Bombyx mori: one gene and its partner. Each later gene encodes a partner of the first gene's protein in a complex. Links are inferred from orthologs where the notes say so. Each region holds a gene or a part of one and is shown in the gene's direction. Other genes may lie near its edges.

Evidence for each region. The genes of interacting proteins can lie anywhere in the genome.
Region 2: folliculin (region 1) and roadblock domain-containing protein 3 share a complex: the UniProt entries of both Homo sapiens proteins name them as parts of the lysosomal folliculin complex. The link is inferred for Bombyx mori from reciprocal best matches to the Homo sapiens genes FLCN and LAMTOR2.

Annotation. Positions count from the first base shown.
Region 1 is NC_085117.1:9,049,941-9,054,935, reverse strand, and holds folliculin, read left to right. Parts: upstream 1-1,684; 5' UTR 1,685-1,805; coding exon 1,806-2,072; intron 2,073-2,298; coding exon 2,299-2,484; intron 2,485-3,146; coding exon 3,147-3,282; intron 3,283-3,389; coding exon 3,390-3,643; intron 3,644-4,037; coding exon 4,038-4,215; intron 4,216-4,323; coding exon 4,324-4,426; intron 4,427-4,526; coding exon 4,527-4,662; 3' UTR 4,663-4,787; downstream 4,788-4,995. UniProt on the Homo sapiens protein: Multi-functional protein, involved in both the cellular response to amino acid availability and in the regulation of glycolysis.
Region 2 is NC_085123.1:7,142,101-7,146,629, reverse strand, and holds roadblock domain-containing protein 3, read left to right. Parts: upstream 1-1,584; 5' UTR 1,585-1,666; exon of another isoform or gene 1,667-1,667; intron 1,668-2,167; 5' UTR 2,168-2,255; coding exon 2,256-2,323; intron 2,324-2,400; coding exon 2,401-2,710; 3' UTR 2,711-3,419; downstream 3,420-4,529. UniProt on the Homo sapiens protein: As part of the Ragulator complex it is involved in amino acid sensing and activation of mTORC1, a signaling complex promoting cell growth in response to growth factors, energy levels, and amino acids.

The DNA of each region.
Region 1 (4,995 bases):
TGTGTATTTACCCAAATAATATTATAGTCATATGTTTTATTCAAAGTTAAAAATAAACTATGAATGTGTCCATTTTTTTTTCGTGGTTTGCCTTAATTTTGCAACTTTTTTTTTTCCTACCTATGCTGATAGCCTTGAGAGGCTATTTCAGCTTACCCTAGCGTGTGTAGGTGAGCTCGCGGGGCTCAAACCGGAGAGTTGCTAACACTGACCCTAGGAAGAGCAGTGCTTCGCAGAATCTACCACCGGATCGGAAGCGCGACCCACTGAGAAGATCCGGCGAGAAACTCAGTAGTTATAGTTTATTAACATGACCACCATAATATGACAACTCTTATGCCGCAATACAACTTAGCCATGGGGTAGGCGTTCCAACAACTTCGATTTTAATTCAAGTTAGCTGCGAACAAAGAAGCAATAACGTTTGTGGCTCGTGCAATTTAGGCTAGCTTTTTGGCTCAAAGGATCATCATAGGTGTTTCTTAGACATTATACAAAGCCAGCCCTCACATTAAAATAGGTATGACTATCATCAACCTATCCTTCTCAATTAAACAGACCATTGCCTCGCGAGAGGTATACGCAAGATTGGTATCCGCTAGTGTGGACTAGCAAGCATTAGTACTTAAGAATAGACAAGGGAATTGGGCAGGAAGATAGTTGACCGTAACACTACTACAGAGGTAGTAGTAGCTTCAGGAAACCAGGGTTGTATACCTGCATCTAAATGATGGGCAATCTGTTTACCAGTTTCTATTAGGTATCTATATAAATAAAAATGAATTGCTGTTCGTTAGTCTCGCTAAAACTCGAGAGCGGCTGGACCGATTTGGCTAATTTTGGTCTTGAATTATCTTTACAAGTCCAGAGAAGGTTTAAAATGTAGATAAATATGAAAATTCTCGAAATTAAATTTAAATGACAATTTTGTTTTCCTTTGATGTGTCCCCTGTTGGACGGATTCCTTTTGTTTGTTTTAAGTTTATTTAATACAAAAGTTTAGGTATTTTATTTATCGATTAAGGTACTACGAAGTCTGCCGAGCCAACTAGTATGTAATATAAATCGTATAAAATTTTGCCAAAATACCAGTTCCTTGTATAAGATCTTTATATTTTATAATATAATATCTATGCTTTTTTTATTACTTAGATGGGTAGACGAGCTTACCGGAGCAACGTAGATGCTTCTACTCACCTTGAGACAAGAGTTCTAAGGTCTTAGTTGTAACAGTACAACGGCTGCTCCACCCTTCAAACCGAAATGCATTACTGCTTCACGGCAGAAATAGGCAAGAATATTATGCTGGGAGCGCCTGAGCCAAGTGTCGTGGATTTGTTAAATTAACGTTCAAGCTTAGTCGTAAAAATGTTAGCTCATTAATTGTTTAAAATTTGTTTAATTCTTTTTAATTTTATTCAATGTTTTCTTCTTTCTTTCAGACGGCAATAGGTTCCTTACGACGCGATTGTTGTCATCGCTAAGGTTATAAAATCAAAAACTACTATTTGTACTTTATTTTTATAATACATAGAAAAGGAAAACTTTCATCCCAATTTATTGAAGACTCAAATGAATCCACTTAACCTCATTTTGCTGTAAATAACTTTTCAAATAACAGAATACGAGAAAAAATAAGACTTGGCTTAAAAGTCTCGCTATCAGACCGTAAAATATTTTAAGTAAAAAAAAATGCTGTATGTCACCTGCCGTCAAAAAAATGTCAACAACTCTTCTATAATTTAACGTAATTAATCCAATATGTACATGATATTATTATAAATGCTGTAGTTACCATAAATATTATGAATGCTATCCTTACCCTTTGTCATTTCTGTGAAGCACACGGACCGCGATCTTTATTTTGCACGTTTACAACTGATAATGACGAACACATTACGGAACCTTCCAAAGCAAGTGTTCAGTGTACAGGCTGTGCCTCGTTAGGTCCTGAAACTGTTTTAAAATCTACAGACGACGATGGCACCATATATTGTAGCAGAGAATCTGTACCCAGTGCCGACGTTACGTCATTTCTGAGACAAGCTGCTATTCGAAGTATTACCTGTGAAGTAAGTATATTTCATAGGATTTACCTACATTAAATTGTTACTGCAGAAATATTTCGACCGTTTTCAATAACTTATCTCTTAGTATCAGAATCATATATTACAATATAATCACCTATATTTGTACATAAATAAATTTCTTAACAATGTAATACAATCTTACTTTAATTGGTCTCGTCCATTTCTTTATTATTATAATATTGATATCTAATGAAATTTATATAACTAGGTAAACTGGAGCAAGGATGGTGGCATAGTATATTTTAGTGAAGCACAAGGTCATGTGCTAAGCTTCACATTCCAGCTGTGCGATACACGAGCAAGAGGCCTCAAGCGATGGTTCTCTATACTGGTGCTTATGAAAGACAAGATGTTGCTCTTGAACATTACTCCAATGCTCTCTGAACACATGAAAGTAGGTTTATTGTAAGTGCTACATATTTGTGAATCACTAAAGAAGAAAGTTATATTAAATTCTTATTATTCTAAGAAAAATTGATTACATCTATTATTTTAACAATAAACAATCAATTTTTTAATATCTTTACCATGTGATCGGTCCTTCATGATGTGACTCTTGGTATTCAAATACCACTGACAGATACCCATTTAAAAATAAAAAACCTAATTTACAAAAGTTCATGAATGACTTCTGCAGTGAAGGAATATCACCATACAAAAAGCAGACTTGCAGTTTTTTTTCTTTTTTTTATTGCTTTATTACTGGTAGGGCGTTTTGTGGGCCTACATTGACAGGTACTAACATCGTGCCTATTTCTGCTGTAAAGCTGTAATGCATTTCAAATTAAAGGGTGAATCAGCTGTTGTACATTAAAAACTGGGACTTAGAACTCATTTTTCAAGGTGCATTAATGGCGATATTAACGTAGCAAGCTAAATTCATAGACCATTTTTTCCTAGGTGATCAGGAAGTCTCAAAAATGACTGCAAAAGATACCATTTACTGCATACACTCTTAAAAAAAATCCATTCCAAAAAAAACTCAACTGCTTTGAATGGATTATCTGCTTGATCCATGAATGTGCACTTATTTCATTGTTGCAATAATATTTTCAGAACATAGCTGCAGAGTTACAAAAATTGGCTGTTGCAGTTTTTGATGAGGAACAAAAAATTTGCTCACAGAGGGCATTGAGGTTAAGAACAGGGAGAAATGATTTTGGTCAGTCAAGGTCACTTGTTCAGTTGACAGGTAGGTACTATTCAGTTTTTTTTCTAAAACAAACATTTTGTAAAATCTGTTATCAAAACAAAACCTGCACTGCTTACTACACGCATCTCAGTAATCAATGTTTTCAGGAAACAAAGAAATATTCAAACTGTTGCACTCACATTTTTCATGGATACTAAAGGCAGGGGCACGTGTGTTTTCTGAAAATCTATATACCAGTCAAGATTTATTAAAAAAGATAAGTCCCATTATCCCAATTCTGGAGTCAAACTCAAGTGTTATTGAAAGTAAAGCAAAGTACATCCCTATGAGAGTTTTGGAGTCTATGTTATCAAATAATGTGTTCAGAGTAATGTTATTCTGTACATTGACCGGAGTGAATGTGAGTTTTTGAACTTTTTATTATATTAATCACATTATTAATATTCACAATATAAACGAACAAGCTGGTATTTAGTATTAGTTTAACATTATTCTGTAGAATCTGTACTGCTGTTTTTTTGTTGCTGTTCTTTTTTAAACCTGTTTAGAGCATGGAATAGTTTATAATTAACTAATATTACCAAAACAATAACATGTCTCAAGTAGTGCCATTTATGCAAGTAACCAAACAAATGGGTACACACTATTACATGGTCTATAATTTGGTCTGCCAATCTACAGCAGTTAAAAGGTATATAGATTCTAAAGCTAATCTTTTTTTAACATATACCAAACTTCTCAATTCAATTCATTGGTGGCATTTATTCAATATATATTTTTTTTATTTGTTTCAGATACAAATGCAAACCAATTTCAGGGATCCAGAAGAAATATTAATAAGTTTCAGGAGTTTACTACCAGAATTTGATTCATCAGCCAAACATAAAAAACCGAATACAGACCCTTGTATTATATCTGAAATAGAACATGGTAATTTTATTTCCAAATGGATGCAAACTTTACCTGTTAATTGTGAGTTTATTACTATTGAAATTAACTCAGTACTCACGAATAACTAAAGGGTTATATAATGATAAAAGCTATACATGATATGATTTATTATGACATGAATTATTCCAGGTCCAACGCTGATGAAAAAAATTGAAATTGCAATAAAAAATGAACATTTTAATGAAGCAGTTCTTCGCCAACATGTCTTATCATTGGTTTTACAATGGCAAGGGTAAATTGAAAAACTCAGTCCATTGGTTTGATACAAAAAACTAAAATATGGGTTTTGAATAGAATTTTTCTATTTGTTTTTTTGTCTTTGTTACTTCCAGAATAGCACAAGCTGTAAAATCAACCATGAAATCATCAGACAACAAAACAGATTCTGTTAAATTGAAACAAACACTCGGTGTAGCTCAGTATGATGAAACATTACTTAAATATTGGATGGATGCATTCTGTAAATAAAATGCCGATGTGTAGTTATTTAACTAATATTTTCTGAAATAATTAACTTATTTTTGTATTTATTTTTAAGGTGTTATACAAAGCTGAATGTTCACTTAATAATAAAAATGTTTACTATTACCTACTGTTGTAGTTTTTCATCTTTACGAAATTAATTATTTCAGTGATAAAAAATATCATATCAGTTTAGTTATTTCCAAACTAAGCTGTCCTTTGTAAGAGATGTCAAAACTTTAATATGATGAATGCCAAACATAATAAGAATAGAAAATGTGTTTAGGCCAGTGGGTCATAACGTAAACCCTGTGACTGCCAATGAGTCTAGTCCATTGG
Region 2 (4,529 bases), on another chromosome or scaffold:
CTGGAAGTCTTAAAATTATGCTCAAATATTTATTATAAATAATTCTACTGTACGTATTTAAGCCACTGAACTCCTCCTAAGCGGCTGTCCCATTTGAAATAATTTTTGAAGTGAAACTTCTTTAGGCGCATGGAGGTAAAATTTTTACAGAACGTCACGTAGGTATGCAACGGAAGTGACATCAAACTACTATTGAAATTAAGTACCGTAAAATGGGGCGATTAGGGATTGAGAGGCGAATTGGGAAAAAAACAGGAAACTCTTTCGACGCTCAATATTAGTTTTATATTCATTGCAAAATCTTCCATTTTTTGTAGTTTAATAGTAGAATGTTGAAAGTTCACAAAACAACTCTGAATATGCATGATAATAGCTGCTAACTTATAAAAAATCGCGTTTCAAATTAACTTTCTGTGGTGGTAATTATTTCAGTGCTAGAAACTTTGCTCTCTTTTATTTATTTGATTATAATAGAAGACGACTGTGATTTATAAACGTTATTTAGTGTTTGAACCATCATATATATTAAAGGTAAGTCTCAGTTATTATTGGATTTAATGTATTTGATAAAATAAAAATACATGTAAAAATCTGTTGTTTTTGGGGATATTGGGGACGTCTTAGGTACAAATAACAACGAAATAGGGGTCAATTGGGATGAGAATAAGAGAAACGGAAACGACCTAAGTACAAATAGGTACAGGTTTGTAGGGTTGTCTATGTAGTTAAAACAATATTTTTTAAATTTGTTGGTAAAAATCTGGTTTATTCATGATGTTTTTGTCTAGAACTTTTATTCAAACTTATCAATGTGTTGTTTTATTATTTGGTAAATATTTATATTATCAGTTACGTATTGTTTTCTATTTTTAGATATGCCTCGCGTGTACGTATTAAAGAGTGCCAAACCTTATAAGAGATATGATCCCTTAATATTATGTCCTTCTTCAAACGAGGCTTGTGGAGAGTATTAAACGGTAGGCAGCGGCTTGGCTCTGCCCCTGGCATTGCTGAAGTCCATGGGCGACGGTAACCACTCACCATCAGGTGGGCCGTATGCTCGTCTGCCTACAAGGGCAATAAATTAGATATACTCTATAGAGTATATCTAATTTAAAACGCACTTGTTAACAAAACGCTAGTAAATAGGGCCATTGCCAGCTGACTGACAAAACCGGCGCATGCGCAATGTAGGCGTGAGGTGATGGTTTGCTTATTAGATATAAAATAATTAATAATTGGGAATTTAATTGTTTTTATGATCGAACAATTACCAATAGTCGTTGAACAAACGATAATTGATAAAAACTAACTAATCTGAGCGATAAAAATAAAGATATCCAATAAGAGGGGCCAACTTAAGGGTGGTAATTTGCTTAATTAATTATAATAAATATTTAAACCCGAAGAAACACTAAATAGACAAAATAAAACAAATCACACAACTTCACTCCTCGCGTTCCCGCCAAAAAGTTCAAGTTCAGTGGATTACACGGATTGTCACGGATGCATAGATAATACACACATTGAGACACGGACGGCGACCATAGATTATACTCTTAATATATTTGACGGCGACGGTATTTTGATAGTTGTCAAATCCTACGTAAAAGTGGAAAATAGAAATTATCCTAAAAATTTAAGATCGTTGACGTCGAAAATTAAGTTCCATTTGACTCCATACAGAGGAGGGCCGTTCGGATTGTCGATAATCCCATTCTCTCGGATCGTTTGGAGCCTCTGGGTCTGCGGAGGGACTTCGGTTCCCTCTGTATTTTATACCGTATGTTCCATGGGGAGTGCTCTGAGGAATTGTTCGAGATGATACCAACATCTCGTTTTTACCATCGCACCGCCCGCCACCGGAGTAGAGTTCATCCATACTACCTGGAGCCACTGCGGTCATCCACAGTGCGTTTCCAGAGATCTTTTTTGCCACGTACCATCCGGCTATGGAATGAGCTCCCCTCCTCGGTGTTTCCCGAGCGCTATGACATGTCCTTCTTCAAACGAGGCTTGTGGAGAGTATTAAGCGGTAGGCAGCGGCTTGGCTCTGCCCCTGGCATTGCTGAAGTCCATGGGCGACGGTAACCACTCACCATCAGGTGGGCCGTATGCCCGTCTGCCTACAAAGGCAATAAAAAAAAAAAAAAAAAAAAAAAAAAAATAATAACAAATCAACACTTGAAAACGATTCAAGTTTAACTTCGTACTTAGCCATTTTCATGTAAATCCAACAGCACCAAGCCTTCAAAATGCTAAAACCGAAAGCATTAACAGAAGTTTTAAGTCAAGCTAATACAGGAGGAGTAGAAAACACTTTGTAATGAAAACATTTAGTTTGGTTACATATTTTATTAGACACTAAACATCAAAATTACAGGTGCTTCTTGATTTTAGGTTGTTGAATCATCAAGGTGCACTTCTAGCTTATTCTGGTTACAATGATAAGGATGCTAGAGTCACTGCTGCAATCGCTAGTAATGTCTGGTCAGCTTATGAAAAACACGGCAGAAATGTTTTTAAAGAAGATGGACTACATTTAATACTAGTAGATTGTTTAAATGGGAAAATTGCAATCACACAAGTTGCCAATTTATTACTGTGTCTTTATGCGAATGAGGCTGTTGGTTTTGGCATTCTGAAAGAAAAAATCAATGCTATTGCTCAGTATCTAGAAGGTCCTTTGAAGCAAGTTGCAAGTTCATAATATGTAATTTTAAATAATTATGAGCAAAATAATATGAGAAGTCACTAAAATACTTTACTTGGTTACTAAAATACTTTATTCAGTTATTTGAATCTTTAAATTTTATAGCTATTATATAAAACATGATAATTGCAAATTTGATTCCTGATTTGTATGCCATGTTTGATAATAAAAGGATTTACTGAGATAGTAGCTTAATGGATTCATTTGAATAATAATAGTTAAGATGCCTCATATACGTGTGCTATGCAACTATGCTGTATTTTCTGGGACAGGTATAAACATATTATTAAATATCTAGGTTCACAATAAACTTTCACATTAAAAAAAAGCTTAGAAATAAAATAAAACATTCAAAATTAATAGATTTTCATAATAACTGTCAGTATGGTGGAACCTGCATGGGTAGATAATATATACAATATATTAATATTGGAAAAATTAATGTACTGTAAAAATGTCTTTTCATTTTAATGTCAGACATTGTTACTACTGTAAATCTAATTAACATGTCCATATGTCAGTTTGCATGGCTTCTTTGTCAATTTGATAGTGGAACAAAATAGAAAAAGTAAAGTTCAACTAAATGGTTAATGCTAAAACCCCTATAAGTTGATGTACATTTAGTCATTAATATTTTATAAACTTTAATCAGAATATTTTGTAGTATCACAATTAATGATGACCCAGTATAAATCTATTCTTCTTTAAGTTTGTATTGAATGTTTAATAGTGACAGCATAGAGCTGAGCATAGCCAGGAGTATCCTTTATGTAAATCATACAGTTGCTCCTCATATGCACATTGTATCATTGTAACCTAGGATAGATAGATGGTTTATATATAAAAAATCGAAATTTGTTAATTGTTTCTTACCAGGAATTCCAGTACAAATATTCCCTTGTTACAAGCAGTCTCGTCTGATCATTAGCTTATAAATAAATAAATAAATAAATATTTACTAACTATCACGCCACGTTAACTGGTCCCGTGATAAGTTCGTAAAGAACTTGTGTTACAGGTACCAGATAACGGAAATAAATGTAAGATTTTTATTATACACATACATATACTTAATACACATCCATAACCCTGGAAAAGACATTTATATTTATCATACAAATATCTTCCCTTGGCGGGATTCGAACCCGCGACCCCCTTGTGTAGTGACCATGTCACTTACCACTACACCAGACGGCCGTTAAATATTAAAATATTCTTAATATATACTTATAAAATATAATAATACTTATAAAGTCATAAATACCAAATAAATAATAGGTAATTTACCTGTGAAATTGCCATTAAGCATACAGAAAATGAAAGCAATATTTTTATAAATATTTTTTTTATTTCTATAAATAAAAATATGCATGATATTGATGCATCTCTACCAATTTTTCAATGCATTTACTGAAGAACTTGGGTATGGGTGCTATCAAACTCTTTAAAGGCATTTTAAACGGCTTCTCGGGTATTAAATTTTAAGTTGTCCAAACTTTGGAAAAAGTAAAAGTCTGTCAGCACAAGGTCTGGTGAACATGTTGCATTATGCAAAACTTTCATCCTTAGCTCTTGGAGCTTAGAAACTGTATAATGTGTCGTACAAAGTGTTGTTTTTTTTTTTTATTGCCTAGATGTGTGGACGAGCTCACAGCGCACCTGGTGTTAAGTAGTTACTGGAACCCATAGACATCTACAACGTAAATGCGCCACACACCTTGACACCTTGTCTTCCACCTATACTACAGCAGAGAGGAGCCAGTAACCAAGGCTGGCATTCGCAGGCTTTTCCATCTTGTCTAGTTAATCGGGTACA